Linked DNA regions of Rhinolophus ferrumequinum. The protein of the gene in region 3 interacts with the protein of the main gene of each other region in a pairwise test. Links are inferred from orthologs where the notes say so. Each region holds a gene or a part of one and is shown on either strand. Other genes may lie near its edges. The genes, in order: TOR1AIP1, VAMP4, LMNA and SYCE1.

Region 1 (7,339 bases), about 12 Mb from region 3:
TCAGGGCCCCTAACACCACCCACCCTACCCTGTTGAAGGGCCAACTGTAAATCTGAAATTCCTGTTCCTGACCTACACCAATTCAAGACAACATAGAAGAAGCCTACACACATAAATCTCACTTGCCCTTTCCTCATTTTTTTCTCCAAAACACTCTCACACCCTATTTTACTTATTTTGATTTTTATCTGACTCCTATAGAATATAAATTCCAAGAAGGCATGGAGCGTTGTCTTTTGGTCTGTTCTTTCATTGCTGTATCCCCAGCACCTAAAACAGGGTCTGGCTAGTGCATAGCAGAGGCTCAAATATTTATTGGATTAATGATTCTTCATTTAACAGTGGTTTTTGATACATTCCCCTCTCAATCTTCCTCTTTTGGTAGAAGTCAAAAGACTTATGAACATTCTTAGATACTGTTTAGTAACTGACTGCAATTTCTAACTCAACAAAGAATAAGTGGAAGAATATTATACTGGGTTTAAATTTTCTTAATTTCAGTATAACACTTCCAGCTAGCCAGTTTCATTTATATCAACAGTCTTCAAAATATTTTGTCTATCACTCGTGAGAATGGGGAATAAATGGAACCAGCTACTATGTCTTTCATTCCCTTCCTCCTAATATTTTAATCATTATTTCCTTATTAAAAATAACATGTTGACTTCTTCCTATATTTATGTATTTTATCTGAAAAGTTTAAGTGTACTGAGAAAAGTCAGTACACTTTTTATGTCAAATTGCTGGAATTTATAAGTATGCTATTCTATTTGGAAAAGAGACATTTTTATTTTAAAATGTGAACTTCTTCCAGTCACTAATTTACAGTTACAAATAAATATAACATTCCATTTCTATATGATTTTACAGCATATAAAGAATTTTTACAAAACTTTTCATTTCTAGTTTAGACTAAAAATGTATTTAACAGAAGAAAGGAGTCTGGACATCACTTGATTAATTTCGTAAGTAAGTGCTTTTGCAAATATGAATACTACATCAATGTGGCCAATAAATGATAAATCTTATATTTGTTTAAAATGTACCAAGATAATTGTGAATCACTGTTTTAAAAATTAACTTATTTTGAATAATTTTAGATTTTCATAAAAGATGCAAAAATAAGTGATCTCATATACTACTGTACTCCTCACCCAGTTTCCCCTAATGTTGACATCTTACATTCCTATAGACTATTTGTCAAATAAGAAACCAACACGTTTGATATATTACTATTAACTGAACTCCAGACTTCATTCAGATTTCACCTGTTTTTCCACTAATCTCTTTTCTTTTCAGGGTTCAATCCAGGATACCACATGGCACCTAGCTAAATCACTTTTAAAAGTAGTAATTTCTTAAATTTCAAAGGAATGAAAAGAAGCACTTCCTTACCTGCTCTATGCCAAAATTTCATGTGTTTAATTCCAGCTGTAATTAATCAGGCATGTAGGGGTTCATCTTTACAACAATTTATTCCTCTGAAATAAATACCAAAATGTTTTAATTCTGAAAATAAATCTCTCCTATAATAATCTTTTGCCTAATCCATACTCTATCTTGATTACCCCATTACTGAATACGTGGGCCACTTGTCTCTCAGGTTTGTGCTATGTAATCATGCATTGGTATATTTATTATTTTGTCATTTTTTACTAATCTCTTCTCAACAGATTCTTAAAAGATAGGAACAGCTGAGAATTGTACTATGCCTAAGGAGTGCTATTTCTGGCATGAATGAGTTAAAGAAAAATTTTCATAATACTTCATTCTAGTTTAATATAGCCTTTCCAAATACAAAGTTCCTCTTAAACCTTTTATTTGGGCACTGTCTTTATACTGTGAAAAAAGCATTTATCTGTATTTTTAAAGTGCTTTAATATCTCACTTTAAGGAACAGGAAGTTAAATAGTTTAAGACACTTGACTATTTCCTCCTTCAAAGAAATTAGTATTTTTATTATAAATACATGCTCATTGTAGAAAATTCAGAAAATGAAAAGTGTAACAGAAAAATTTAAAAATATATAGCTTCAAAAAAATAACATTGTTGCTTTCTACTAGGATATAACCCCAAAGTGACTTGCTTATCTGAGCACACAAATATGACTACCATGTACAATGGATTGATAAATGACTCCTCAGTGTATATAACTGGATTTCTGCTTACCCTAAAAAACTCATATACAAAAATGATTTTAAAATGTTTCATTTAAAATAGCTGCTTTATTTTGAAATCTAGTGTCAAGAACACTAGATTTTTGAGACCTAGAACAGCTAGGTATATTGCCAGTCATTTAATCTGAATTATAATTGTTTGTATATGTCTCCCTAATACATGGCAAATTCCCAAGGGATAAAGAATACATTCATTTAAAAAAAATTTTTTAATAATTAAAAAAACTCATTAATTTAATCCATATATTTATTAAACACCTATTCTGTGCCAACATAGATGTTTAATAAATATGTGAATTAATGAGTGTTATAATTCTTTGTTATAATCCTTTCTTCTCTTACCCGTCTTCTCCTTTGATTCACTGAATTACTCTATATATCTCACATTCCCAGAGTAATTGTCTAACACCCAGAGCTCATGCCTCCACTTGGTATTGGTGGCCCAGCAATTCCCTTATAATAGTGGCTGTGAGTCTACTGTCTCTGCAGCGTCACCTCTTTTGGACATCCCTACAGTTTGGAAAACATTTACAGCAGAATATCTAGTTTGACTAGAGTTTAGCTTTGCCTCAGCTTTTTGTGATGCAAGTTGGTATTTGTAAAGTTGCTAGGTGTGGAAGGCAGGTATGACGGAGCTAGGATTATGTATTATTACACATGGATTGATGAGTCAATAATATGTAGAACCTCTTGTCCTTTCTCTTTTTTAATATGTCCCCCAAACCTAAGTTTACAAGTCTATATCCAAGTTTCTATATAGTCACCTGTTCTGATGTTTTAAAAAGGCTTTTAATATATGCACTAAAGTTCATAATATGAACTTTGTACTTTAATACTATAATTTTATATCTCTTAATTACATTACAGAACTTTTACTACCATATGTTAATGAGTAATATAATTAGCACCTTATAAAGCATGACTTAAAACAAATAAAACCCAGGTATTAAGCAAGTACCAGTACTTTTCAACATTTTATCAGAAAGTAAGTCCCACAAATTTTCCAAATATACTATCTAACCCAGGCTGACAAGGGAGAATATGCCTTTAGTTTTCCCTTAAAAGACTTTTTTTTTTAAAGTAGTATCTCCCTTGTCACTGTTCCTCCAGTTTCTTTGGCTATATTTTATATACCAAACAAAGCTAGACTAAACTAACAGGCTAAAACCTGATTCTCTAAAGTATGTAATTCCTTGTGTCTGTGACCAAATACTATATGGCCAAATATATTAGTGAAAACATAGTACATCTTAACATTTCATTAAATCGAAATTTGTGCCCAGTTTGAGCAAATGAGTTACTCAAAAGCATTCTAAGGTGATTTAAAATACTTGAAAGCATAAACAATTAAATACCTTCAAAATTTTCAGAATCCTTCATTTTAATTCGTATCATCACAATTTTTAAAATCTATTTACCAAAATCAATTATAAAACATCCTCCATGAAAGTGTGCAGTTGAAGATAACATTAATCTGTTTCAATAATTATTCAGACTTTTTACTAACTTAATGTCTTCCCTCAGTGTGTCTAAATTTGGTTGCCGATTATCCACATCTGTAAATACGGTATTTGGAGGTGAAACAAATAGTGCTTATTCATACTTTCTTATTCAGTAAAATAAACGCAGGAAACTGTAAATCAAATGCAGCGTATCCAGTCAGGTCCAGCATCAAAGTAAAAATAACGGACCACAGCTATAATTACAGCTGTCTTTAACCTACGAATTTGTTCATTTCCCTCTGTCCATGAACAGCACTAATAAACTTTCACAACAGTGCTACTGAAATAGAGCTTTTACACAAAAGCCAGGAATATGACGTTTGCTATGCGTGTATTTTGCAAATGGGAATCCACCCGAGTATGTCGGGAGTTGCGATTTTATACTCTCAACAGGTGACTTAAAATTTAAAACTGGGTAACTGCTTTCATAAGGAGCTTGAGACCAAAATTTTCTCTAAGAAAAGATGACACAAATGTATCTTTATCAGTCATCACTCCTGCTAGAGACATTTCCAGGCACGGCTAAGGTAGCAGGGGATCAAAAAGGTTCCAGAAAAACTGCGCAACAGCCTGGGGCTGGGGACTGAAACTTCTCCACCCCCGTCTCCCTCCGCCTTTCCAGAGACTCGGTATTGGGAGCCAGCTCCGGCGTCACCTGCGTGCGGGCAACAGTTGCCACGAGCAGCTGGGTTTAGGGCACGCAATTTGCCAAGCCAGTTGTCCCTTCTCTGTCGTCCCCTCCCTCTCCCCCAAGGCCGAGGACAGCGACGCCCTCCTCCCTCTTCTCCTCCTCTTTGGTGCCTTCAGCCAAGAGGCGGGAGTGACCCCACGAGCAGCTGACCCAGCACAGGCACTGCCTCTCCCACAGCCCTCGGACACACCATGGGCCCAGAGGCGGGATTGCAACACAGCAGCGACGACGCAGGCGGCAGCCCCGGCGACTCTCAACTGCCTCCCTGACCATTGCGACCACCGCCCATCACCCGGATAAGCCGTCGTCACCAACGGCAGGAGATTCTAGAGTCGTCAAAGCCATCTTCGCTATCGACTCAAGCTACGTCAACAACTATGGCGGGCGAGGGGCGGCGGGTGGAACGGGTGATGGTAGGATGGGGGATATACGTCACACCCAGGGCCCCCATCCGGGAGGGAAGGCGACGGCTCGCCCCTCAAAATGGCGGTAGCAGCGACGCGCCTGCGTACGGAACTCCTTCGCCGTCGCGCCACGGCCGGCGGGAAGTGAGGTTCTCCGAGGAGCCGCCAGAAGTGTACGGCGACTTCGAGCCTCGGGTGGCCAAAGAAAAGTCCCCGGTGAGAACCCGAATCCGACTAGAAGAGTTCCGGCCTGATTCTGCGAAAAAGGAAGTGAGAGAAAGCGCCTACTACCTTCGGTCTCGGCAGCGGAGGCAGCCGCGACTCCAAGAAGCCCGGGAGATGAAGACGCGAAGTGCCGCTCGCCCCCAGCAGCAGCACTCACCGCAGTCTCCGCTACAGCCGTCACCGGTTTCCACCCGGAGAGGATTACGGGACTCTCATTCCTCTGAAGGTGAGGCCAACGGAGGTAACAGCTCCAGCCGCAAGCTCAGGAGCGAGCGAGCGCGGCGAGCGGGCGGGCGGGCGCGGCGTGTGTACACGCCTCGGAGGCTGGTGGGCGTCCCCGCGGAGTTCGTCCCGGCCGGGGCTGGGGTGGCTCCCTCCCGCTGGAGGGAAAGCAGCACAGGTGGGAGGAGTGGAAAGGCAGTCAGTCGTGCGGAGCAGTGAGCAGAGTCGGGGATCTCTGCTCATCCCTGGGCATCAGTTTAGGAGTGTCAGGAGTGCCTTTCTGCGGTCCTTCACAAGGGGACGGCGAGTTAGGCGGCAGGCGGGACACCGAGTGACTCCGGGGTCGGTTTCATTTCGGTTTTCTCTGTCCTGCGGCTGTATCTACCAAAGCCACTTCCATTTCCTCCTTTGACACTCAGAGGCCAAAAGTCCCCAGCTGAGAATCAACGGTTCTGAGATGACCTTCCAGTGTTTTCCCATCACTATCCACGTGGGGAGAGAGGGAAGGAAATTTTGTGAGTGGGCGTTTTGTGGGCTAGCATAGTTGGTGAATTGACTTGAGACCCCACTCAAGTACATACACCGAAAAGGGGTAAGTCAGTTATCCCGAACTTGAAGCCCCCAATGTCTGATAAACTTGAGCACTGAACGCTCTTTCTCGACTATGATGGTCTCTGCCAAAAATTTGCCACGTTGGGGGCTCTACGTGTAACCTCAGTGGTTAAGTAGTAGCCTGACAAAGCAATACTTTTTTTTTAGTTTTCATCTACATGGGCGAAAAGGGTGCTGACAAAATGAATGTATAGTTTAGGTGAGTCACAGGTGAACCAACTCCCTTAATTCATCCTCTCCCACCTTGCACCCAACCGCGATCTAACGCTGAGTCACAAGTGAAGTTTCATGTTAGCCCCAGGTAAGGCACCTATGAGGTAAAAATCAGGGGGTTTGAATCACAGTGGGATTACATAGTTAGGTACACCATTGATGGATATGAAGAAGACACGGATTTTCAGTGTAGAGCAGCGAATAGGCTGCACGTTTACCTGCTGACACATTTGAAGATGTGCTGATTTTGGAAACTTTCTGTTAAAAATATGTAAGTTACTATAGGGTGTATTCACTCAATACAGTTTAGCCACAGATGTTAGTTTTATCGCTCTCAAGATTATAAAGTTCCTGAAAACAAAAATCCTACCAAATATATTTGAAGGACTATGTTGTACTTTAGTACTTATGTTAATTTCCTTCAATATCAGGAAAACTGTTTTGCACATATTTTTATTTAAATAAGTATATGTTAAATTGTATTGACTTGCACAGAGCCTAGTGCAGTTGTGTAAGTTAATTTTTTAACACATAAAGGGTTTATGTCTATTGTAACTATAAGGATCTAAATATTTTTCACTCTTCTGCATCATTGATGACGCTCCAGCTCATCTTTTAAATTTTCTAAAGTAATATATACTTTTGTTGTAAAGCATCAGTGATGGACAGTTTATTTTTGTCTTAAGAGTATTTCTAACTAGTTAAATTTATAAGTTTTGGTAAACCTAATTTCACATTTCTAAAGAAATGAATTACTTGCATTTTTGCTTATATGTTGCTATTAATATGCATAATCTCTTACCCAGATCAAATGTTCTGTATTTTGACATTTGTCATATTTATTCTTCAGAGGATGAACCATCTTCGCAAACTGTTTTAAGCCAAACAGTCTCAATGAAAACTACCAGGAGAGCACAAGAGACTCCAGGTAAGAAAAATGATTTAGGTTTTTTCCTTATCTGCCAACTTTAGTATACACATTATAGCCTGTTTAATCAAGGGTCCCAAATCATACCTCATTCAGAGTTTCAGTGAATGTTCTTTATAGGTGTTTATTGAATTAAGCAATGTGTCAAGAAAAGACAGGTTGCATACATGAGAACCTCGTAAGTACCACGCACTTTGTATATGTTAATTCATTCACATATGCACAATAGATACACCTGTTTTTGTTGCTGTTGTTTTTTTTTTAATTTTATTGGGGGAAAGTATGTTTCTGCAGGGCCCATCAGCTCCAAGTCATTGTCCTTCAATCTAGTTGTGGAGGGCGCAGCTCAGCTCCAAGTCCAGTCG
Region 2 (7,230 bases), about 6.8 Mb from region 3:
TCCCAGCTGCTAGTACGACTTCTCCAGACACCTGTGAATGCTGCTGCCAGAGCTCTTACCTGCTGCTGGGCGGGCATCCCGGCCGGGGCCAGCTCCATGACTCTGGCCGACAGCTCGGCCTGGATGCTGTCCATGCCGTCGTACTGCTGACCTCGGTGAAGCGCCACGGTGATCAGCCTCCTGAAGCCAGCGCTCAACGCCAGCTGCTTCCGGCCGTCTTCCATGCCAAAGAGCCACTCAGTCTCCCGACCCTGGGGGACTGCAAACAGGCACTTGGTGACAGAGGGTCCCAGGGAGAGTGTTCGAGCCCACAGCCAGTACGAGCCACACGGCAGAGAGCCAGGCCCTGTCCCGCCCTTCCAACTGAGGGGCTGTCGATGCACGAGGGCCCAAGGTGCAGAGCAAAGCAGCCAGAGGGCACGAGGGGGCGGAGGAGTGGGAGCCTGTGGGCAAGGGATGGAGGCTGCACCTGGCGCAAGGAAACGAGCAGTAGCGCTCAAGCTCATCACGCGCCAGGCAGTGTTCCAAGCCGTTTACAAACGGAAACGAATCGAATCCTCCCAGGAGCCCGGGATGCACGTAGCATCGTTATTCCCACCGCATAAACGAGGAGATTGAGACACAGAAGTTACATTATTTGCCCAAGTTCACACAGCTAATAAGTGGCAACCTGGGCCTCCAAACCAGGCAGCCCCGCCCAGACTCCACGCTGAGCCTAGCGCACTATCCGTCCTGACAGGTGGGCAGTCGGGATTACGGAACCCTCGGGAAAATGGCCCAGTCATCAAATGACGAGCATGACCATATCGACACCGCCTAGTCGTCTAACATTTTCTACTTCTGAAAGCATTCCCTCATTGTCTCTCTTTTGATTATTAAGGTCAATCTGGTATGATGCACCCCTTTCGATCACGATGCTTACATTTGTAAAGCACTTGTCACATGCCAGGCACCGTCCTAAGAGCACTGACACTTCTCACAACTACCCAAGGTAGTTACGCTCTCGCTTTATAGATGACGAAACTGAAGCACAAAAAGAAAAGTAACGTGTCCAACGTCACACCACCAGGAAGTGACTGGGACAGGACTGGAACCCAAACGGTCTGGTTCCAGCGCTCGCATTTGTAGTCATTACTCTGTACTGTCTCCCCACACTCAGCAGAGAAGCACAGCCACTTCCCCGGGTCTGGCAGCTGCATCCACTGCTTCCATTACTCCTCCACGTTACAAAGTAACTAACATCTCTACAATGTGTGACGTCCCTCATTTGATCTGTTACTTCTCTCTTCTCCCTACCGCCCCCTTTCTCCCACTTCATCAAGCCTTTGCAATGGAAGATGAGAACAAATAAGCTCCAAATCGAAGCAGGTAGCTGGAGAGCTGCTCCTGTCCCTTCCTCGCGCCTTGGCTAGTCTAACCAAAGTACCGCCCCCTGCAAGATAAAACCAGCCAAGGCATACCCATCCACCAAAGCCCCACCCCAGCCCCTCCAGAGAAGAGAGGGACCAATGCCAACTCACTGATGAAAATGGCAAAATGATTGTCCCGCGATGGTTTCACATTGGGGCTGTCCACCACGTGGAGGGTGTAGCGTGGCTCCCCCGTGTCCCCACTGCACAAGTCCAGGGACAGACTCCCCAGCCCAGCCTTGCGGGACAGCTGGCTGCACAGCCAGGCATACTGCTGCCGCTCCCGCACCGCCTCAGCCAGCCGCTCGGCACTCTCCAGCCGCACAGGCTTGCCCTGTTCCTGAGCGCACAGCTCAAAGATCTGAAGGGCAGAGCCAGGGATTGGCCTGAACTTGGTCATGATGAAGGCAAAGACAGGCAGGGGGAACCGAAGCTCTGCTTCCAACACCTGGTCCTGGCTGTTGGCCACCTGGTGCACCCTCACCATCCACCCCTCCCGAGAGAAGTGACCCACTGCTTTCTTCAGGACGTGAGCCTGAGCCAGGGAGATGCAGAGGTAGCGACCGCCCACCTGCAGGACACGGCCAACCTCAGCCAGCATCCTGTCCACCTGCTGCAGGGTCTTCTCCTCCTCGTCTGTCAGGACAGCATCCAGGGTGCCCTTGTCCAGCACCACCTGGAACGAGGCATCGGGAAACTCCATCTGGGTCATGTCCATCTTCAAGAAGCTCATCTGGGGCCGGCGGCTGGCATTGCGTTCCTTCATCTGCTTGATGACGACCTCACTGATGTCGATGTTGACTATATCCTGATAGCCCACGTCATACAGCTGCTCACTTAGCTCTGAGTTACCGCACCCAATCACCAGCACCTGGGGGGAAACCAACACGATGGCAGTGACCGTGACAAAGGAATGAGCTCCCCGTGCTTCGAGGAATCTAGTCTCGCTTTGGCTGTTGCATGTTTTCAAAAGGGGAAGATGCTACTATCACAGGACACAGCGCCATTACAGAGTTGAGTCTAGGACCCACTGTGGAACACCACTGGTTAGAGGACTCACTCGTGAAAACGACACTCAGCAACAACGTAAGTTATGTGAAACTAGCTTTCTATATTGCAGAAACAAATCACGGTTGTTCTTTTTCTCTGAACCAAACCTAATTAACTCAAGAAAACTGATGGGAAGTCAGAATCCAAATGCACTAGTTACAGTTGAAATCTGCTATTTGTTTTCCTGTTGAAAGCCTAGTTCTGGCATAATCCTGCTCCACTCATACTTTTGGCTCATCCTCCTGATATTATATTTTTCTGAAGCCAAACGTAAACACAGGTTGTTGCATCCCTCTCTGTGGTGTAATCTCCCATCAACCCTTTAAAATTCTGTCCTAATATCACAATCTCTGGAAAAGCATGGTACAATGAGAAGTGCAGACGCTTTGGAGCTAGATGGGCCTCAATTTAAATTCCTATGTGACTACTTACTACATGTGTGATCTTGGGCAAGAAACTGACTCTTAGAGCCTCAGTTTCCTCATCTGTAGAATGCAGGTACCACCACTCACCTCACAGTTTGTTATGCAAATGCAACTACTGAACGAACACACACACACACACACACACACACACACACACAGAGCACCAGGCTTGGCAGGTAAAGCTTCCTTCAGCAATGTTAGCTTTCTACTCTTCTTCCTTCCTGCCCTACCTCCACTACAACCCCCGTCAAGCCTTCTACCATCGCACTTATCACATGTCCCTTCTGGAATGTGCCCAGTATTTACATCTTACTGCTGTTACAACTTCAGGGCGGCCCAGACACAACTATGTGATAACAGAGTCACGTATCAGTAAAGCCACAGCTGCTGCCTGCCTCACAGCGATGCACAGTGACAGAAACGCACACTTTCCTTCTCTCGGAGTCGTTACCTAGGTTGGATTAACTAAAGACGTCAGTCTTCCAGTCGGGCTATTAACAGAAGGATGAGCGGGGGCTGGAGGTCTGTTATCTGAAAATCTTTAGGATATACTTAGCTGCCTTTTAGCCTGAATCCTGAAATTATGGGCCGAATTAGAGGCCCCAGGCCTGCCACTGTCTACTCTGTGCAGGATTACTTGGTAGGCAGTTCCCACTCCTCGCCACACACACAGGGCCGTCAGGCGCGCTTACCTTTTCCCGGGGCTTGATGTATTTGTGCAGCACCCCGCACAGTTCCAGGTAAGTTCCATACCACTCGAAAGCTTTCTTCCCTCGCTGCTGGAAGAACTTCTCCCAGTAGTCAACGGAGCCAAAGTCCTTGGAGCTCTTTGGTAAGAGATTCATATTCTCCCTGCGTCTTCAAGACTGTCCTACGCCCTGGGAGGCACCAACGGAGGGGCTGCCCCGCCCGCGGGCTCCAGGACACTGCAGCGGGAATTCTTCCTACGGACAAGCAGCCACATTGACTTATCCCCCACTCAAAACACAAAGGAATGACCCTTATACGCCAACCGCACGCGGGAGACACTGAACCTATCACACGCTCACCTCCTCCCCCTCACCCACCGCCCGCCTCACGTGCTGAGTCTCTCACTTTCTCAGAGCTCGGGTTCGGAACCCGCAATCATATCCGGGTGCGAGGCTTCCCGATTGGTCGGCCGCTCAGACCATCCCAGCATCTCATTGGCCACTGCCTTTCGTTCCTCACACCTCATTGGCTGCGACGCGCTCGCCTCACGCCGGCTTTCCTGCAGGCGCGGAGCGTTTACGTCAGACGGAAGGGGGTGGGCCCCAGGGGTCGGGGCGGAAATGGCCTGGAGCCTGGACCGTAGGCCCAGATCAGCGCGCAGGGAGAAGGCAGCCGTCTCAGATCTGGGCTTTCCAACGGCGGCTGAGAGCGCGCAGCCTTCCCGGGCTCTGTGTCCGCATCGTTTCTGAGCCGGCCTCTCCACCAGTTCTGATCATGAGCCACACAGGGGCGGAGCGCGGCTGCGGGCGCCCTGGAGGGCCTCCTGAGAGGAAAAACCTGTAGAAGGAAGTGAGGTAAGGAGTGAGGGGATCCGGTCCACAGCGAAAGAAAACTGCGCATCCTCGCCATTTATCGTCTGCTTCTCCCGCCACATCCCCGCCTTAGTGTAACCCCTTTATCTGTATAATTCAGGTTTGCTTTGGAGAATGGCACTGGACCGCACTTTTTCTATACCAGAATACAGGGTTCCACTATTCATGTAATAACATGAAAATTCAAGGGAAAAGAATAACAACTAGGGATGCAGAGGTGTCTCCTCTTTTTCTCCTCCCCTTAGGGCACAGGATGTAAAACTTGAGACCCATTTTGATGATCTGCCTCCTTCGGCTGTCATTCTGACGTCATCTATAAGTAGTTACTGCTGCTTATTTTACGTGTATAATGAACATGCGGTACTGTCAGATGCTCGTCTCATACCAATACCCTATGGAAGTTGCCGTGAAGGGCACTGTTTTTAAAAAGACTGAAACGCGTGTGTGCGTGGTTGGCTTTTCACAGCGCTGTAACTCGCAGGAGGCGCGCATGGCCGGGAGAGCAGCGAGGCTCAGAATTCAGCATCTGTAGTCTGGGCTGGCACAGACCTCCTCTGCACAGACAGCGGAGTAGACAGCCAGTGGTCGGACACGTTCAAGTCGACTTCAACTTTGGTTTACACGAGTAGTTCTCAGACCTGGGCCTGCATCAGAATCGCCTGGAGGGCTTCTTCAAGCGGGTTGCCGAGTCCCATCCCCGGCGTTTCTGATGCATCCAGTCCACAGTGGGGCCCAAGGATTTGCACTTCTAGCAAGTTCCCAGGTAATACCCACTATGTTGGCCCAGGGACCACACTTGGAGAACCAGTTTTAAAATATGATTGAGAGAAGTCAAAATGGATCTAGTTCCAACTCCAGAGGTTTAAAAGGTTACTCCAAAAACCCTCTAGAAGTAACAGCAAAGAAAATATTTTCAAGTACCACCTGCTGCCTTCACATTATTGCCTGTCGACCCAAGATAAGAACTGGCAGGAACCTCTGAGGTGGCTTCAGCCACCATGTCGTGCAGGGTTCCTGCTGGGTGAGAGGTGGTTTTTTCAAAACGCACTTTCCAGAGCTGAGGACACTCTGTGCTTGAAGTGCTGCCTAAGCCCAAAGAAACAAGCAGCCTCTGCCCTCTCGCCCCAAGGGTTTATACAATCCAATGAACATTGAAATTGCAGAAATACTTGAGACATAACATTAGACTCTGTCTTTTAAAATACTTATATTTGAAACATTCCTCCCAAGGTTTCACTATGAAATATAATTAATAGGTGTGTTATCATTAATATCGTTAATTTAAGCCCATTAGATATTACAGGGCTCTGTGTTTTATTAGGATTCCTGGAGTGGTGACGGGTATGATTTAAAATGCAAACTGAGTTTAGATAAAGCCATTCAATACTGTGTTTTTTTCCCTAGAAACTACAAATCCAGACCTCTGGATGTATAATTTGCAGTTACCCTTACTTAATTGAAACATAAGGTTTTTTGATAATAATATTCAATTAATAGATGGTTGCTAAGATAATTGCAAAATGAAGAATAAATCATTGAAAGCATTTCTCCCAGTCTGGGGGACAGAAGATGGGAACGAGGATGTGGTAGGCAGAATACCGTTCCCCCGAACATGCCCACGTTATACTCCACAGAACTCGTTAATAAGTTAGGCTACATGGCAAAGGGGAGGGGAGGTTGCGTAGCAGCTGACTAGTCTCGGTGATTCACGTGAGCCCAATGTCATCACAAGGGTCCTTAAAAGTGCAAGAGGGAGGCAGAAGGAGGAGAACCAGAGAAGGGGTGGCAGGAGGAGGGCTGGCCCAGCATCGCTGGCTTTGAAGATGGAGGAGGGGGCCGTGAGCCAAGGAAAGTGCCTTCCAGCCTCTAGAAACCAGGAAAGTCAAGGAAACAGATCCTCCCCTACAGTCTGCAGAAGGAATGCAGCCCTTAGATACCTTGATTTTAGTCCAGTTAGACCTTGTCAGGCTTCTGACCTCCATAAACGAAGGTAACAAATTTGTATTACTAAGTTTTGAGTAACTTGCTACAGTAGCAATAGAAAACTAATACAGAGCATAAACCCTGAGAGGGAGTGTGGTGGGGCAGACCACAGGGAGAGCAGCAGAAAACTAGAAACTAAGGTGAAGGTCAGGTTCTGAGAAGTCATCTGTTCCCAGCATTTAGATTAAACCTGTCAGGGCACAGGAAGAGAACCAGTAGAGAACCAGGGTCACAGCTGGAAAGGACTGATAGATGTTCTCAGGAAGAACTGAAGTATTTCATGATTGATTGTATACGGGGAATAAAAGACAGGGACTCAAAATGGCTTTCACATTGGCCTCTGGATGACTGGGGAATCTATCGAAAGAAACAGGGAAGGAGAAAGGCATCATTTGTAGAACTGTTGCTTGAGAGGAATTCAGAGGTCATTACACCAGTAAAAAGCCAAAGCCAGAGCGAAACGCCAGTCTCCCCACCCTGCATGCCTAGCCTAAGGGCTCCCACCCTTCTCCAATTCTGTCGGTGGTATCCAATTGGAATTAGTGGTCCAAGATATGAGGGAAGACGCTTCATAAGTGGGATAGAAAACTATTTGAAGGGAATCTCTCCTTGGTGTACAGTGAGTGGTTTATATTATGCTGGAAACTATTTCACACCGGAAGTCTTCTTTGCACATGGGTTTGTTTTCCACATTTAAGAAGAAATTAATGGTTTCCTCTGTCGTGGAATAATGGAAGGCAGACATGACATCCAAGGATAATGTCGTACCCTTTTAGGAGCTGGCATCAAACCTTTCTTGAA
Region 3 (7,594 bases):
TCACTGTGGGTAGCGGGGAGCAGGGGGAGGGGCGGAGATGCAGACATTCAGGCCCCCATCCCTCCCTCTGAGACATCTGCTTTCTCCCACTGTCTCTTGTAAAGCCACCAGGGCGGGAGGGAGGGGGGCAGGCTGAGTCACCCACCCAGCTGTCTTGCCTGGGGTGGGGCCCTGCTCCAAGCCTGGACCCCAGGCAGGCCTTCCCTGTTCTCCCTACACTTAGGCTCCAGGATAGAAAGAATGTGCGTATGTGTGTTTATGGGGGGAGTGTTTCTGCTTGGAGCCCACAATCCAGCTCAATAAGAGGGCATCCCAAACCCCTGGGTGTGGTCGAGGTACCCAGGCCGGACCACAGGAGCTTACAGACAGCTCTGTATCCCAACACAAACCTTGACCTGAACTTGGAGCTCTAATTAAACACCTTCTCTCCAGGTTTTAGTGGGAGAAATTGGGACAAGACGGGCCTCTCCTCCTCTTCCAAATTCTTCATTCTACTCTTCTCCACCTCACCCTGGGCACAGCAGATGCGAAAGGGAGCAACAAATCCTAGCTCCTCCCACTGGGAACATAGAAGGTGACTGTCACCCCAGTCTGAGCCTTCTTTGTCTCCACCCTGCCGCCGCCCATCCGCCTAGGATCCAGGTGTGCAAATCCACCCCCCTTTGCCGGAAGCCCAGCCTCCCCAGCCAGGATCAGTGGGGGAGAAGAGAGGCAGGTGGCTAAATATAACATGTACACACGCCACCCCCGCCCCTACCCCACGTGTGCACACCCCCGCCTGGTGTCCCAGGCCTGGACAGCTGCACCAGAAGGCAGGGGAGACAGACTGCTGTGGCTGGCTTAGCATGGGACCAAGCCTCCACTCGTGCCGTTCCCCCATCAGCCAGGAAAGCCCTTCGCTGGGATCTGCGAAGGTGGTTGAGTGGACAGGTTTCCGACACTGACATTCTCTGGGACTCCCCAAGCTTACCTCCTGTCTGTCCTGCTAACTAAATCGTCCACATCACTAGTGAAAAAGACAGGAGCGACCCCTTTCAACAGGAATAAAAGCCCATCTCCCCACACGACTTGCAACTCACTACTCTTTACAAGAGATGAATCTGCCACACCTACGACCCCTGGACTGGGGACTGGTGAAGGCATGTCCAGAGAGCTAAGAGCAAAAGTTTGGAGAAGATAAGGGGAAGTCAAACCACAGGGCCCCCACAACCACAGATCTGCAAGCAGCATTAGTTCTCTTTGGTTTAGGTCTTCATGGTGAAAAGGGCAGTAGACAGGAGGAAACCAAATTCTTGGGGGGCTGAAGAGGGGCTAAACTTCCAGGCTCCAAAGTTCTTTTTAGAAGAGGGTGGAGTCAAGTAGGGTGGGGTAGGGTGGGGCCAGGCCGGGATGGGTGAGGGAGGAGTGGCCTAAAGCTTCCAACGGCTGGATTTCAAAAATGTCACTGTATTCCCGGTTTATTAAGGCCAAGACCAAAAAAAGTCAGACTGAGAGGATGGGACAGAGCAAAAGCGGCTGGGCCTGGCTGGGAAAATGAAAGTGGCTCACCCCAAGGGAGGGAGACCGAGAGGGACAGAGTCCTAAACCCTCCAAGACACCAGGCAGAGGGCGGGGAAGCTGCCCGCCCGGGCAGCCAGACCTGGGCACAACACAACTTCCTGAGTGGGAGCCTCTGCCTCCCTCCCTTGCATTCCTGGGCCAAGCAGGCCAAGGGCTGTGGGAGCTGCGGGGGAGCCTGAGCTGGGAGCCACTCTCCTGGAGCTGTTTGGGGGGACTGTCAGAGTCCAGAGAAGGTCCCAGAGATGCAGTGAGTGAAGGAGAGTTTCCCAGCTCTTAGAAAGAACCCGGATAGGGTCGAGCCAAGGGGGCCACCTCCATGCCCCTGCGGTGGGGGGTGGGTTGTCACCCTGCCTTGGTGACCTCTCTCCAGCACCAGTGGACATATGCCAACTTGGGAGTTTGTCTTAGTGGACCTCATGTATTCAGACCCAGGCTGGGCAAAATGGGCACTGTGCCAAGCCTGCCAAGAAAGTTCTAACTGGACCCTTTCACCCACTCCAATGTGTCCTGCAGTGCCCAGACTTCTTAGACTTGGTGGGGTCAGTTCTGCTTTGCTCAAGCCCCTCCCGCCGCTCCAAATGGCTGGCAAACCTTCCTGACTGAACGGGCCTACCACCAATCCCTCCTTGGCCCTGATGCCCTCACCCTTGGATACCCATCTCCCAGAGACCCCTCCCTTCTCTGTCCTGTCCTGCCGATTTCCCTTGGCACTGCCAGTCACCCGCTAGGGGCAGTTCCGGGGAGGGAGGAGACTATATGGCAAAGTTATCAGCCGCCTGGGGCCGGGCAGGGGTGACCAGTCTGCCCCTCCGCCGCCACCTGGGCGTGCCGCCACCTGGGCCCACTCACCGCGCTTTAAGCTCCTTAAACTCCTCGCGCACTTTGCTCAGCTCCAGCTGCAGGCGCGCGCGCTCCTTGGCCACCGAGTCGAGGGTCTTGCGGGCATCACCGAGCTCGGCCTCGTACGCGGCCTTGATGCCGGACACCTCGCGGCTGACCACCTCCTCCGACTCGGTGATGCGAAGGCGCAGACCTGCATTCTCCGTCTCCAGCGAGCGCACACGGTCGATGTAGATCGCCAAGCGGTCGTTGAGCTCCTGCAGGTCCTCCTTCTCCTGCAGCCGGGTGATGCGGGTAGGCGACAGCGGGGTGGAGCTGGCCTGCGCCCCGCTGCGGGTGGCGCGCCGCTGGGACGGAGTCTCCATGGCCGGCAGGGTGGCAGTGCTGCCCGCGGGGCAGGGATCCCGGGAAGGGCGCGGGGCTCGGGACGAAGGACAGAGGCGGGTCGGGGCCGGGGCCGGGGTCGGAGCGCGCCGGCCGGCAGGCTCTCAGCTTGCTCCTGGCAGGCGTGGGGATCTGGGCCCGGCGCTGTCGGACGTGGGATCCGGGTTGGCTGCAGTGGCTGCGGCGCTCCCGCGAACACTGAGTCACCGGCGACTGGGCAAAGGCTCTAATAGGTCCTGGGAATGGGAGGAGGGGCCACTGCTCTTAAAGGAGCCGCCGCATACCCGTGGGGTGGGGGCGGGAGTGGCGAGCAGAGCAGAGGACAGCCCAGCTCGGGCGGAGTGGAGCCCCACCCTCTCCCTCGCACCTCAGTCTGCCCCGGGCTTCGCTGAAGCTCGCGTTTTGGTTCCCGCTTGCTCAGCGCTCCCGGCTGCAAGCCTGCCCCCACTGCCTCAGGCCTTGCGGGTAAAGGGCAGAGCCAAGGGGTGAGATTGGGTGGGCGAAAGGTGGGAGTGGAGGGAGAGGGAAAGTGGATGTAAAGCAAGGGAGGGCGCTAGGCAGACAGATCCAGGAAAGGGGAGGGGGGAGGGCTGAGGCTGGTGCCCATCAGGGTGACTCACTCTTCCACCACCAGCTCCCCCTTTCCTCCCCATAGTAATAGTGAGTCACCCCTACCCCCCCCACACACACGTGGGCAGCCCATTCAAAGTTGCCATCTCAGAATGCCAGGGTGGGGTGGGGAAGGAATCCCTGGGGGCACACAGCAAAGTTCCAGATTCTGAGGTCCATCCCCTGACCACCTTCCTTTGGACCCAAGCAATTGGGAAAAGAGGCTGTGTAGGTCCCTCCCCCTTCATCCCTCCTACCGCTTACCCCACCCTGCCAAATCCAGGGCTGTACTGATTTTTTTTCTTTTTCCAGGACTGTACTTATTTTAATGGATAATTTAAAACAGATACCAGAGCTGTGTGTGCACTCATCACGTTGCCAGGACATCAGGTCCTAGATTTTTGTGGTTCCTGAAGGGGCCTGAAAGTGGGAGCAGAGCAGGGGGCTGGATGGCCAGTGGTGAGTCTCCATCCTGGTTTCATCCAGAAAGGGGGTAGTGGGGAACAGAGACAACAAAGCTCCCACAACCTTGCTGGATGCAAAGGCCAGCACTGCACTTATCTACATTCCTGCGCAGCCAGGTCTACTTTACAGCTGGCTCTGGGGAGGGGCCAGGCCCTCGCACAAAACAGGATCACCCAGGTCCCCAGGCTCCCACCCCAGGCTCCACAGCCTCCATCCTTGGGCCTCACCAAGGACCCCTTTGGTCAGTCTTCCACTCTCATCCCCTAATCCTGGCTCTGGCCCCACCAACCACATTATCTTTTCTAAGAGGTGGCAGAGCTGAGGCGCTGGAAGCCATGGGTGCCCTGCCCCTGGCATCCCACAACTTATTCTGAGGAGGAAACAGGAAAGTTAAATTATGTTGCTAGCTCCTACAGCTCCAGGACACCAGGATTTCTGTAATACGCAAAGGAAGCAGAGTTGGTCAGGCCCTCTGTTGTGGGTTCTGGAGCTGGCCTCAGATGGACGAGAGGGGCTGCAGTAGGATTACAGCAAGAGCTCTGAGTGTTTAGGGAGGAGCACCAGGAAGGGCGGGGATGCTCAGGTTCCCAGCTCTAGGAGGGTACTGGGCAGTGCAGAGCATCCAGGATGCACACATGTGAGGGACCCAGGACTCGGCTACCTCTCTCCTAGGGCGTGGCACCCACCCTGGGCTCCCCAGACGAAACAGTCTTGTTCTGCTTCTCCCTCTTCTGTTTCCCAAACTGGGAGCAGAGGAGGGGGTGGGAGAGTCAGTGAAATGTGAGGGGCAGGGCTCCCGCAGTCCCACTGCCTCAGCCCCCCCCCACACTCAGAGCCCCCACTCTGCCCCACCCAGTCCCCCGCCCGGTCTGGCTTCCCCTCCTGGCTGGGGAAGCAAAACCACACTTAACTCTTCCTATCCCGGACCTCCTCATCTTTGGGGAAAAGAGGCAGAAGAGAGGTGGGAGGAACCCCACCCCAAATTTCACTCTAGGCCCTTTCCAGAGTCCCAGTTTCCAGGGCCTCACCACCACCAAAATGACCTCAATCCTAAATCTGAGCTTCAAAGCTGGGCTTTCTCCTGAATACTCAGTCCTAACTCTGGATCCCCAGTACAGGTCCCCAGTCCCAGAGAAGCCGGAGAAAGTGGAAGAGGCCAGTTGAGAAGACGGAGCCTGCTGAGGGGTGCGTGGCAAGTTGGGACTGGGTGGACCCCAGGTCCCAGTCCTGCCGCTCCCCTACTATGTGACAGATAATACATCTGCTACTACTTCTCTGGGCTTCAGTTTCCTCATCTGGCCAGAGTGGCTACCAAGACATGGGGACTGAGCTACTCTGCTTGGTCTCAAGGCAGTTGCTCACTGGTGGGAAAAACATAGGAAGAGGCAAGACCAACCACAGTGGCTAAAGGGCAGTATAGGACCCTGACCTGGCAAATGAATTCCAAATGGGTTCCAGAAGCCTGGGAGCTGGAGCATAATCAGAACACAGTGGTTGAGTCCAAGGGATGGTTTGGGCAGTGAAGGAGCTCTTGTCTTGAAGACCAGTGACCTGGGAGGGGGGCCCTCCAATGTTTCCACAGCATCCTGGGCCTCCCTCGAGGACCCTTCCTCCCAAAAGTGCTGTGGGGACAGAAGGGGCCAAGTCTTGGTTATCTGTGTCCCCAACAACGGGCCCAATGCCTGGCGCACAGGAGGCGCTCAGTGTTTTGAAATGAACAAATGCATCTGGCCCTGCCATTTTCAGGAGAGTGACTCTGGGCAAGTTACTGCATTTCTTTCAGCCTCAGTTTCCTTATCTATAAAATGGGGATACTGCATTGATTAAGTTACAAGCATTTGAAGGGAAGGTCCTTAGAAGAAGTAGAGTGAGGGACTTTATAGAAGTGCCTTATATAGAGATAGAGAATTCACTCATCCAACAAATATTTATTGAACACCTACTATGTGCCATCCACTGCTCTAGACACTAGGGTACAATAGTGAATAAAACAGACAAAAATCCCTGTCCTCTTGGAGGTGACATTATAGTGGAGGGATATAGGCAATAAATACACAACATTACAGTTAGTCAGAAGGTGGTAAGCACTATGACAATAAAAATATAAAGCGGGACCTATATGCTTTCACCTACATTCTCAGGTTGGTCCACAAAACTACCTCATGGGTCGGAGCGTCCCCGTTTTACAGGTGAGGCTGACTTTCCCAAGACTAGACAGTAAGTAATAGGCCAAGCTCAGACTTGGACCAGGCAGCCTGGTCCAAATCCAAGATGTGCTTCACTATCTCATGCCACTTTGGCGGGAGGCGTGGGAGGTGCTGGGGTGGACTGGGGCCCAGAGGAAGTCTGGACACAGGCTGGGCAGAGGCTGGGCAGAGGTGAGGCGGGGAAGTGTGCGAAGAAGGGCAGGCCGGGAGACATGGAGAGGAGACAGGAGCTGGGGCTGCATGCGATGGGGTCTGAGGGGTAAGATTCTGGCTGCTTGAGAAGGCTGGGGTCAGGAAGGAGAGAAGAGGGGCATGGAGACCAACAAGCAAGGACGCAGAGGCGCCGGCCTGGCAAGAGGCAAGGCAAACGGAGTGGGCTTAGCAGAAGGATGAGACCAGGAGGGATTCCAGAGGCAGACTGACTCATGCAGGGAGTAGGTATGAGGACCTGTTAGCCCTGTTATCGGACAGTAGGGATCCGCGTTCCCTTGTGGATCCTACACAATAGCTCTACAAGGTACATACCCGCAATTAGCCCCATATGACCCACGAGGAAAGGCGTTCTTTTAAGGCAGGGTCTCTCTACTCTGGCTCTATTGATACCAGATAATTCTTTGGTGTGGGGAGTGTCTGTGCACAGGGGGATGTTTTGCAGCATCCCTGGTCTCTACTCACTAGATGCCAGTAGCACCTCTGCCCCTCAGGACAATTGAATATGTCTTCAGACATTGCCAAGTGTCCCCTGGGAGGCCAAATCTCCCCCAGTTGAGAACCACTTGTCTAAGGTCCCATGGTTGAGAGCAGAACTGGAATTTTAACACAGGCTGTCCTGACTGAATGCCAAGATGGTACCCTCAGGCTGTAATCCTGGACAGGTGGGGTGGGAGGGAGACCTCAAACGGGTCCTAGGCCATTGGGGAGCCAGTTCTACTCCCCCATAGGGCTGGTAAGGGGTGACTTTTGGAGGCGGGTCTAGGGAATGGGGTGATTTGGAGAGTCAAGGCCATGGTTTGGGAATGCCTTTACTGTGACTTAGTTCTTGAGGGAGGGTCCCTGTCTTGTTCATCCTTTGATCACAGGGTCAGGACGAAACAACTGTTAAAGTGCTGAGTCACTCATGCCTCATGCACAGGTGATGGTCATAACCTTGAAAGTGGAAGGACTTGCCTGTCCTTTAGGTGGCTGCCATGTACCAGGCACCGGGCTAGGGGCTGCCTGGAGGGCATCCTATTTCATTTTCACCTCAGCCTTACTTATGAGGTAGGTAGGATTATCTGCATTTTATATGCCAAGAACCCAAAGCTCCGAGAGGTTGAGTGATTGGCCTGAGGTTGCACAGCAGAGTAGACTGCCTTCTTCCCACCCAGACTCAGCAAGGAGGAATGATGCAGGTTCAGAGCGATTAGCTCAGTTTAGCTCAGTGGAGAAGGCTCTTAGAAGGAGCGGGTGATCAAGAGCCATTTGTAAAGCCAGAGAACCCCTCATCTCACCCGTAAAACCCAACATACTAAATGACAGAGGCAAAGTCT
Region 4 (7,822 bases), on a different chromosome or scaffold from region 3:
GAAAAAGATGGAGAATGTGGGGTGTGGGGTGTGGGGTGCTGAGCTGCTGCCAGCCCACGGTTGCTGACTGATGTGTGGCTTATGTGTTTGGGATATCTCGGGGTATCCTTGGCTGACTGCACTGTGTTCCCAGGTCTTCCACATAAGCTCGTAGATCCCCAAGGACTGGAGTTCCCACACCAGGCCAGACCTCTGGACCTGAGGGTGGCACCAGCGTTGGACAAGATACCTTATGCCAGGGAAAAGCTGAGGGACTCTACCCCAACCCACCAGACAGGTCCAGCTACCACAGCTGTGCAGGGGGGAGGCTGTTCCAGCAAAGCTGCCCCAGGAGTCTGGTGTTCAGCTCCCCCGGCAAATGCTGCACCTGGAGTGGAGTCCCCAAGGCCCCTTCAACCTCAGTGCCCAGGCTAGAGACTGGGATCCCACCACAGCCTGCCTCCCCAGCTCTCCCTGGGGGCTGCAGTATGCCCCATGCAGGCCTCCCTGTGGTCTTTCCATACCCAGGCTTTCAGCTCTCAGACCTGGGTTCCTTTTGGTCTGGTCCTCCTGGGCTGCCTCTCTTACATGCAAAATAAATCTTTGGTTTGAACCGCACTCTCCCAGATGTGGTGACTTACAGAGGCTCTCTAAGCACACTGGGAGTTCAAAAATGGCCCTGGGGAAGGTCGGGAGCCTGGCAGGGAGGGTGACATAAGGCAGCATAAGTAAGAGCCAAGCTAGAAGGCAGTTAATTCAGGTGTGCCAAGCCCAGTGCCAGGTTTCACCTCCAGGACTCTACATTCCAGCAGGCAGCCTCCAGGGCACAGATGACTGTACCTGGGGCATAGCCCTGGGTCTGACACCTTGGCTCAGAAGAAGACTTTCGAATGAAGAGCCTTTCATGACCTTTACTCAGGTGTTATTCCCTAGATGCACACAAGATGACAGCAAAGAATACCTTTTCCAGGTGACAAACAGGTGTCATTCTTAAACCTCACACAAGATGGCAGCAGAGAAGAGCGTTTGCTTGCTCATTATGCAAATCCAGGCCCCTGGGACTGAGCTCACTAAGAAATAAATCCAGTTCCAGGCCCTTCACAGGCCTCATCTCACCCACTGCTCCCATTTTCCAGATGCAGCAGAGACGATTACTATCTCCATTTCACAGATAGTTAAAATGAAGACTGATTCTAACACACACAGTTCAGAGTCCAGAACCGAGGCTGACATGGGCCCACATGGGCCAGCTTGCACACATGGGGTTCTGGACAGAGTGATCCAAATAGTCCTTGCAGTGTTGGGTGGAATCTCGGTCATTGTATTTGAAGAAAAGCAGATAACCTCATGGTCCCGCTTGCCATGCACTCACCTAGGCTGGTTTTGGAGTGGGACCAGGGCAGGCAGCTGGGGATGGGGACAGGTGGGGAGGGAGGTGGTGGCCTGGCCTTTCAGGGGAGGACAAGCAGCACCAGATCCCTGTGACAACGACTCCCCCAAAGCTGAGCGATGACTGTGCTCGGGCCTTTTAAAATCTCTTCCTCCTCAGCCCACGGCACAGCTCTGCTTCTCCCCCATATTCCCTTCCTCTGAGGTCACATCTGACAAGAGATTCCTGGCTGCTCAGAATGGAGTCTGGGAAAACAGTGCAGAGTCAGCCAAGGACACCCCAAGAGATCCCAAATCCATAGGCCATACACACAGTCATCAACTGTGGGCTGGCAGCAGCTCAGCACCCCACACCTTACATTATCCATCTATTTCTGTCTCTGACCTTCTCCTTCAATCTCTGTCAACATCCGTCTTTGTCTGATTTGATTCAAGATATTCATGAAACATCTGCTCTTGTCACTACCCTACAGTGACTCTTACAAGCCCCCAACGGACCTTACCTCATCCCTAGCTCAGGAAGCCTTAGCTACCCATGTTTCCTATCTTCCTACCTCTCCTGCATGTGGGGTCTCGGACTCTCCTGTGTGCAGGGTTCCCGTGTGTATGTATTAAATCTGCTTATATTCTCTTGCTAATCTGTCTCATGTCTATTTGATTATCAGATCAGCCAGAAGAAGCTTGAGGGTAGAGGAAAGTCTCTTCCTCCCCCACCTAAACAAGTAATCAGATATCTAATAAAAGGTGAAATTTGGGAGTATATCTACATCACTGCATCATGCAATAAGATTCAACAATTTAAATTACCTTATTCTCAGGACTGAGTGATTAGATCAATGAAATATGGGACAATCTACCAATTTAACTTCTGGATGTGAAACTTTTATTACAGTTTCAAAGGCGGGAAGAAGAGGACCAAAAGTTTTGCCTTTGGACACATTGACTTTAAGCTGATTGTTAAGAAACAAGACTAATAAAGAACCTTTGACCCTCCGCCTTTCCTGCCTAAGAGATTCAGATGGAGACCTGGTTTAGGAGGAGAACCTAGGCATAAACTCCTTAGCACAAGGCGGGAAGACACCCAGTGGAGACTGCTAAGGACCACAGATGCCTCCCTGGCAGGTCAGAGGAGAGGCCTAGGGCTGTCCTGAGACCTGACTATCTCCTGCTGCCCATTCGGATGGGACGAAGGATCCAGCCAGTCCTAGGAGGGCCCCACCAGCCCTTAGAAAGGCTGCACCTGGAGGCTGGCAGGTCGCTGTACCCAGTCCTGTGTAAATCCACACGTGTCTACTGAGTGCCCTCGTGTGTCATCACTGAGCTAGAATCTGGGGCTGCCCGGACATAGTGGAGACCCCACCAACCCTTCTGCAGTGGGAAGGAGGGTGGGGAACCTGCTAGACTGAGGTTGAGTTGGATTTGAAACAGTGACCAGAGTCACATTTCATTCTTCTATTAGCAGAACCCAGGACCGGGGAGCAGACAACTAATGGTCCATTCAACTAGACTCATGTGTGACATTGGGTACGTCCTGCCCTTCCTGGAAACCTCAGAGAGATGAAATGTGGAGGGGGAAGTGGGCCGGTGAGGCTTAAACCAAACCCTAACCCCGGCCCCATAACTTTAAACCTCTACCCCTAAATCCAAACAACCCTAACTCTGGGCCCTAGATGCTTGATACTGACCCTTAAACTCTAAACCCTGACCCTGACTGTGGCCCTAGCATTGACACTGATTCTTCACCCTCACTTTCACGATATCCCTAGCACACTAACCCTAACTCTACCACTATCCCTTACTGCAGTCTGTATCACAGGACTGGTTCTGGATTTGAGGGTCTTTGAAACTTCGGTGTGCTTATTTCCTGCTTAGGTCAGTTCATTTCCAGAAGAGCCACCATAGTCGGCAAGAGATGGTCTACTCTGCTGTGGTTTGGTCAGTAAGCCTGGCTTGGACTGCTAGGTCTTATGTGAGTGGCTGTGACATCAGGATGGTGAAAGCAAGCCAAGGATGTTTCAGCCACTAATCCTGTCTCCGAATCCTAACGATGAAAGGAGACTCTGAATCTGGCCTCTGACACCACTTCGCACTGACCCTTCCCCTGGCCCCAACTCAGACCCTTACTTTGACCCTTAATCCTAACACTGACTTTTTTCATAACATTATCTATATCATGGGAGGCATTGATTTGTAGAAGGCATATTAGCCTTGAGGTGACAATTCAAGCTTTGACTATTTGCAAGGGAGTCTTGGTAGAGGTGACGTTTGTAAAGGCTTGCGGTGAGTTTAAGCCTGTTTGTTTTGAGGAAGGCTGCTGGCTAGAGCAGAGTGAGTGAGGGGAAGCCCAGGCAGGTTGGCCATTGTCGGGCTGGAAAGAGGATCAAATGAAATAATCTTCCACCATGACCAGAATACGAACTGTCGCACAGGAAGCACCCATTAAATACATGTTCATTCTTGTTTATTATAAGTACTGCCAGTGTCCAGCAACAGAAAACTGAAGACTTGGCTCGTAGAGCAGGGCTCTGCACACGCAGTGCTCAAAACTGCTCCTTGTGGTTGGAATGTCTCAGAACTGGCTTTGTGTGCAGTGAACGGGCTGGACACTTCATCTGCACCACCTGCACCCAGATCCACCCGCCTGGGGCTGCCCCGGGCACTGTCTCCTCAGAAACCGGGATTCCTGGAGGCAGTGAGCCCGGCGACGGGGTAGGTGAGCAGAAGCCCATTTGAGCCTCGCGTCCACCTCGGGGCTCCACCTGCACAGCCCCGGGTGACCACCGTGCTGCATGGGCGGGGAAGGATCCTTCATCCACTACCAGCGGGGCATGCCTGCACCCCCTGCCCTCCCTGCAGAACCCCCCCCTCAGGCCACGCCTCCAGTGGGGACGTGTCCACGGGGAGACAGGGCCAGACTCGGGATCAAGCTCGGAGGGACGAGGGTCCCCGTCTACTCTTGCACTCTCCTCTGCATCCAACCAAGAAGATCCACCAAGATTAGTCAGGTGGGCTGACAACACACTTGGTCTTGCTCCAGAATGCCAGCCCGGAGTCGTCGCTGGCACGGGAAATAACTGATGTGTGCAGTGAGTAATAGAGGCAGAGATGGGAATCGAACTCGGCTCTCAAACGCACCTCAAAGTTGCACTTTTTGCAATGCCAGAGACGTCGAGTCAGGGTGGCCCTTCCAGAAGCCTGTATACTGTGCAGATCAGACTGTTCAACAGGCCGACGCAAGCCCGGAAGTAGGCACGCGGCCCTCGCTTCCTGTGCCCTGACTTTGGGTTACGGCAGCTTTAAGCATGCGCACTGGCGCTTGTCCAACCGTTACCTCCGCGCCTGCTCCGGAGGAATGCGGCGCACAGAGCACTGCACTGCGCAGGCGTGCGGGAGGACGCCCCGCCCCCGGCACGGGTTTAGTCCAATCCCAGCGGAGGAGCCCAACGCCAGTGCGTCAGCCGGTTGAGAGGAAATGGCGGCGAGGCCGGGGCCTTCGAGCTCGGAGCCCTCGGGAACCACGGACCGGGGAGAAAAGGCTGGAGGTAATCTGGGGCCCGGCGAGGGCCTGCTTCGGAACCGGAACCGGGCTGGTGTCAGGCCGGGGCGGGGCAGGGAGTGCGCGGGCGGCCTCTGTCTCCGTCAGAACGGTAGTGAGGAAAAAGGACCGTCGCCTTCTGAGGGAAAGTCGACTGTTCCCTCGAGTGGGGTCCTTACCCACATCCGCCTCCGACGTGTAACTCACGCCGTATTTGCCATGTTTGCTTCCCCTGCTTTCTGCTCAGACAGCTTAAAATTGTCACAGAACATCCTTTCGACCTGAATCTCCTCAAGCGTCTCTGAAACACGAAAGGCACGTTTTCCTGGGTCTGCCACACCTGAGGGAACGAATAAGTCCCCATTGTCCTCATCTCACACCTCTGAACTTCCCTGTTCTGACCAGTGGATTGTTTCCCCCCAAAACCAGACCGACTCCTCACACCGACCTGTTGAGGGATGGCTCCCACCTCCCCAAGCAAGGGGGGGACGTGCAGTTTATTTTAATTGTTTAAAAGTTCCCAATTACAGCCCAAAGAGGAAAAAAATTCTGTCCTAGCCATACCCACCCCTGTAAGGATTTGCTCGTGGATGTTTCAGGGGGGTTTTCTAACGCAGGCAAGTGGAGAGAATTGTACGAGGAACTCCTGTGTACCTGTCCCCGCGCTTGTTTTTGGTCCATCTGTCCGTCTTGATAAAGTGCTGCAATCAGCGGAGCCTCGGTAGTTCTCACAGTTCCGGGCTTCGTCTGCCGCCCTCGCTCTCCTCGCTGCCCTCACGTGGGGAAAGGGTGAGGGAGCTCAGTGCAGCCTCTTTGATGCGGGCACTGAGCCCATTCGTCAGGCTCCACCCTCGGCCTCGGCCCCCCACCTCCTAATCCCGTCACAGGGGTGAGGATTTCAACATGTGAATGGGGGGCTGAAAGGATTCACTCTGTAGCAACCAAGTGACACCATGGAGACAAGGACTTTCCCAGAGTGAATTGATAGGAAGATTAATAGGTAAAGGCTTTGCAGTAGCCCGTCTTGCAGAATTGTTTAGCATTTAAATTGCTTTTTCCTTTTTCAGTCACCTTCCTGGGGGATCACGGAAAACACAGCGATGCATGGACAGAGTACTCACTGGAGCCAGGATGGTGGTGGGAAAACACGGGGAGGGAATGGCCAGATCCGCATACACCCATTCACACAGGGAAACACACGTACAGTGGATTTATAACAGGAAGGAAAATAATTAAAATTCAGGCAAATCAATTTTTAAATTATCAGCTCTCTATACTGATAACAGCATGGTATGCAAAAAGGATATTTTTATGAAAGAAGCAAGATGGAAAAATTATATCTAGAGCACTGTATAGGTTGCAGAGAAAGTTCTCTGAAGGCTACTTTACTAACTGATGATTGAAGAAGGGATTTGGATTTTTTGAGGGGAAGGCATAAGTGAAGGAACATTTTTAATCTTATTGTTGGATTTTTCTAATAGGACTATAGTTACTATTTGTGGAACTTTAAAATTTAAAAGGAGGGCACATTTGTTAACTGTCATTAGAGAATCAGAGGTTAATATCTATTGTAATGTTCTGAGTTTTAATTGTTGTACTGCAGTTACTACATAGGAGAGTATCCTTGTACCTCAGAAGTTCACCTGGGGTATTATAGGGTAATGAAGCATTGTGTCTGCAACTCATTCTCAAGGGTTAGGAATATTAGCAAATGGGGAATCTGGGTGAAGGATATATAGGAGCTGTATGTCCTGTTTTTGCAACTGTTAAGTAAATTTGAAATTATTTCAAAAAGTCAAAAGTAGGGGGGCTTACACTATACAGGCTGTTTTGTGCCCTAGCTTTCTTGTTAATGAGATACAAGTTGGCTCATTTTACAGATATTTACTACTGTCCCGCTGTATGCCTTACCTTATGACAAGCACTAGATATGCAATAGGGAATCAAAACAGAGGTACAGGTCACTGGTCTGTTAATAATACTGGGGGGAAAAGTGGTTACCCCAACAAACTGTAAAAGTCATTTTTGACTCACCCAGGGAAATCTATTAACTTTTAAAGGATGCAACCTTATGCAGAAATGTACATGGTGAAAAGTAAACCTCTCCTGTCTTTCCAACCCCAGTCTCCAGAGGTAACTACTGTTGAAAATTTTTTGTGATTCTGGCAGGAAATAATCTAGACATGATATGCATATATTTGTAGACTGACAGGTATATCTTTCATCTCTTTTTGTAGCCATGTCGGATTCTGTACTACACCAGTTTACACTTTCTTTCCTTTTAAGCTATCTAGGATCTTTTTCCAGGTTAGTACATGTGTATTGACCCCCTTTTCACTGGCTACATAGTATTCTGTTACAGGGATGAATCATAAGTTCTCTACTGATGGGCATTGAGGTTGTTTGAGCATTCAGATTGTTTCACGCTTTTACAAAAATGACGGTGACATTGGTTAATAACATAACTTTCAAATATACAATTCTACAGTACATTATTTGTATATTGCATTCTGTGCTCACCACCCAAAGTCTAGTCTTCCTTCCTTCACCATATATTTGACCCCCTTTACCCTCTTTATCTTCTTCCCACCCCCTCCCCCTCCAGTCACCACCATATTGTTGTCTATGAGTTTGTTTATTTTGTTATTTTGTTTGTTGCTTTCTGTTTAATATCGCACATATAGGTGAAATCATACGGTTTTCAACTTTTCTGTATGACTTATTTTGCTTTGCCTGATACTCAAGATCCATCCATATTATCGCAAATGGCAATATTTCATTTCTTCTTATGGCTGAATCGTATTCCATTGTGTACCACATCTTATTTATCCAATCATCCATCAAAGGATACTTTGGTTGTTTCCATGTCTTGGCCACCATGAATAATGTTGCAGTGATCAAGGGGTATAGAGGTACACA

What was found.
Region 1: the proteins of LMNA (region 3) and TOR1AIP1 interact in a two-hybrid assay, tested with the Homo sapiens proteins (2 studies listed by BioGRID). The link is inferred for Rhinolophus ferrumequinum from reciprocal best matches to the Homo sapiens genes LMNA and TOR1AIP1.
Region 2: the proteins of LMNA (region 3) and VAMP4 interact in a two-hybrid assay, tested with the Homo sapiens proteins (2 studies listed by BioGRID and IntAct, with this or other methods). The link is inferred for Rhinolophus ferrumequinum from reciprocal best matches to the Homo sapiens genes LMNA and VAMP4.
Region 4: the proteins of LMNA (region 3) and SYCE1 interact in binary tests that used the Homo sapiens proteins (3 or more experiments, as listed by UniProt). The link is inferred for Rhinolophus ferrumequinum from reciprocal best matches to the Homo sapiens genes LMNA and SYCE1.

Annotation. Positions count from the first base shown.
Region 1 is NC_046305.1:12,610,282-12,617,620, forward strand, and holds the start of TOR1AIP1 (torsin-1A-interacting protein 1), read left to right. Parts: upstream 1-4,338; 5' UTR 4,339-4,747; coding exon 4,748-5,225; intron 5,226-6,896; coding exon 6,897-6,974; intron 6,975-7,339. UniProt on the Homo sapiens protein: Required for nuclear membrane integrity. Induces TOR1A and TOR1B ATPase activity and is required for their location on the nuclear membrane. Binds to A- and B-type lamins. Possible role in membrane attachment and assembly of the nuclear lamina.
Region 2 is NC_046305.1:7,488,865-7,496,094, reverse strand, and holds the start of VAMP4 (vesicle-associated membrane protein 4), read left to right. Parts: upstream 1-4,230; 5' UTR 4,231-4,428; intron 4,429-7,230. Other genes in the region: METTL13 (eEF1A lysine and N-terminal methyltransferase), read right to left, coding at 60-259, 1,521-2,280, 3,577-3,729. UniProt on the Homo sapiens protein: Involved in the pathway that functions to remove an inhibitor (probably synaptotagmin-4) of calcium-triggered exocytosis during the maturation of secretory granules.
Region 3 is NC_046305.1:712,281-719,874, reverse strand, and holds the start of LMNA (lamin), read right to left. Parts: upstream 3,021-7,594; 5' UTR 2,766-3,020; coding exon 2,410-2,765; intron 1-2,409.
Region 4 is NC_046299.1:31,899-39,720, forward strand, and holds the start of SYCE1 (synaptonemal complex central element protein 1), read left to right. Parts: upstream 1-4,821; 5' UTR 4,822-4,840; coding exon 4,841-4,910; intron 4,911-7,822. UniProt on the Homo sapiens protein: Major component of the transverse central element of synaptonemal complexes (SCS), formed between homologous chromosomes during meiotic prophase. Requires SYCP1 in order to be incorporated into the central element.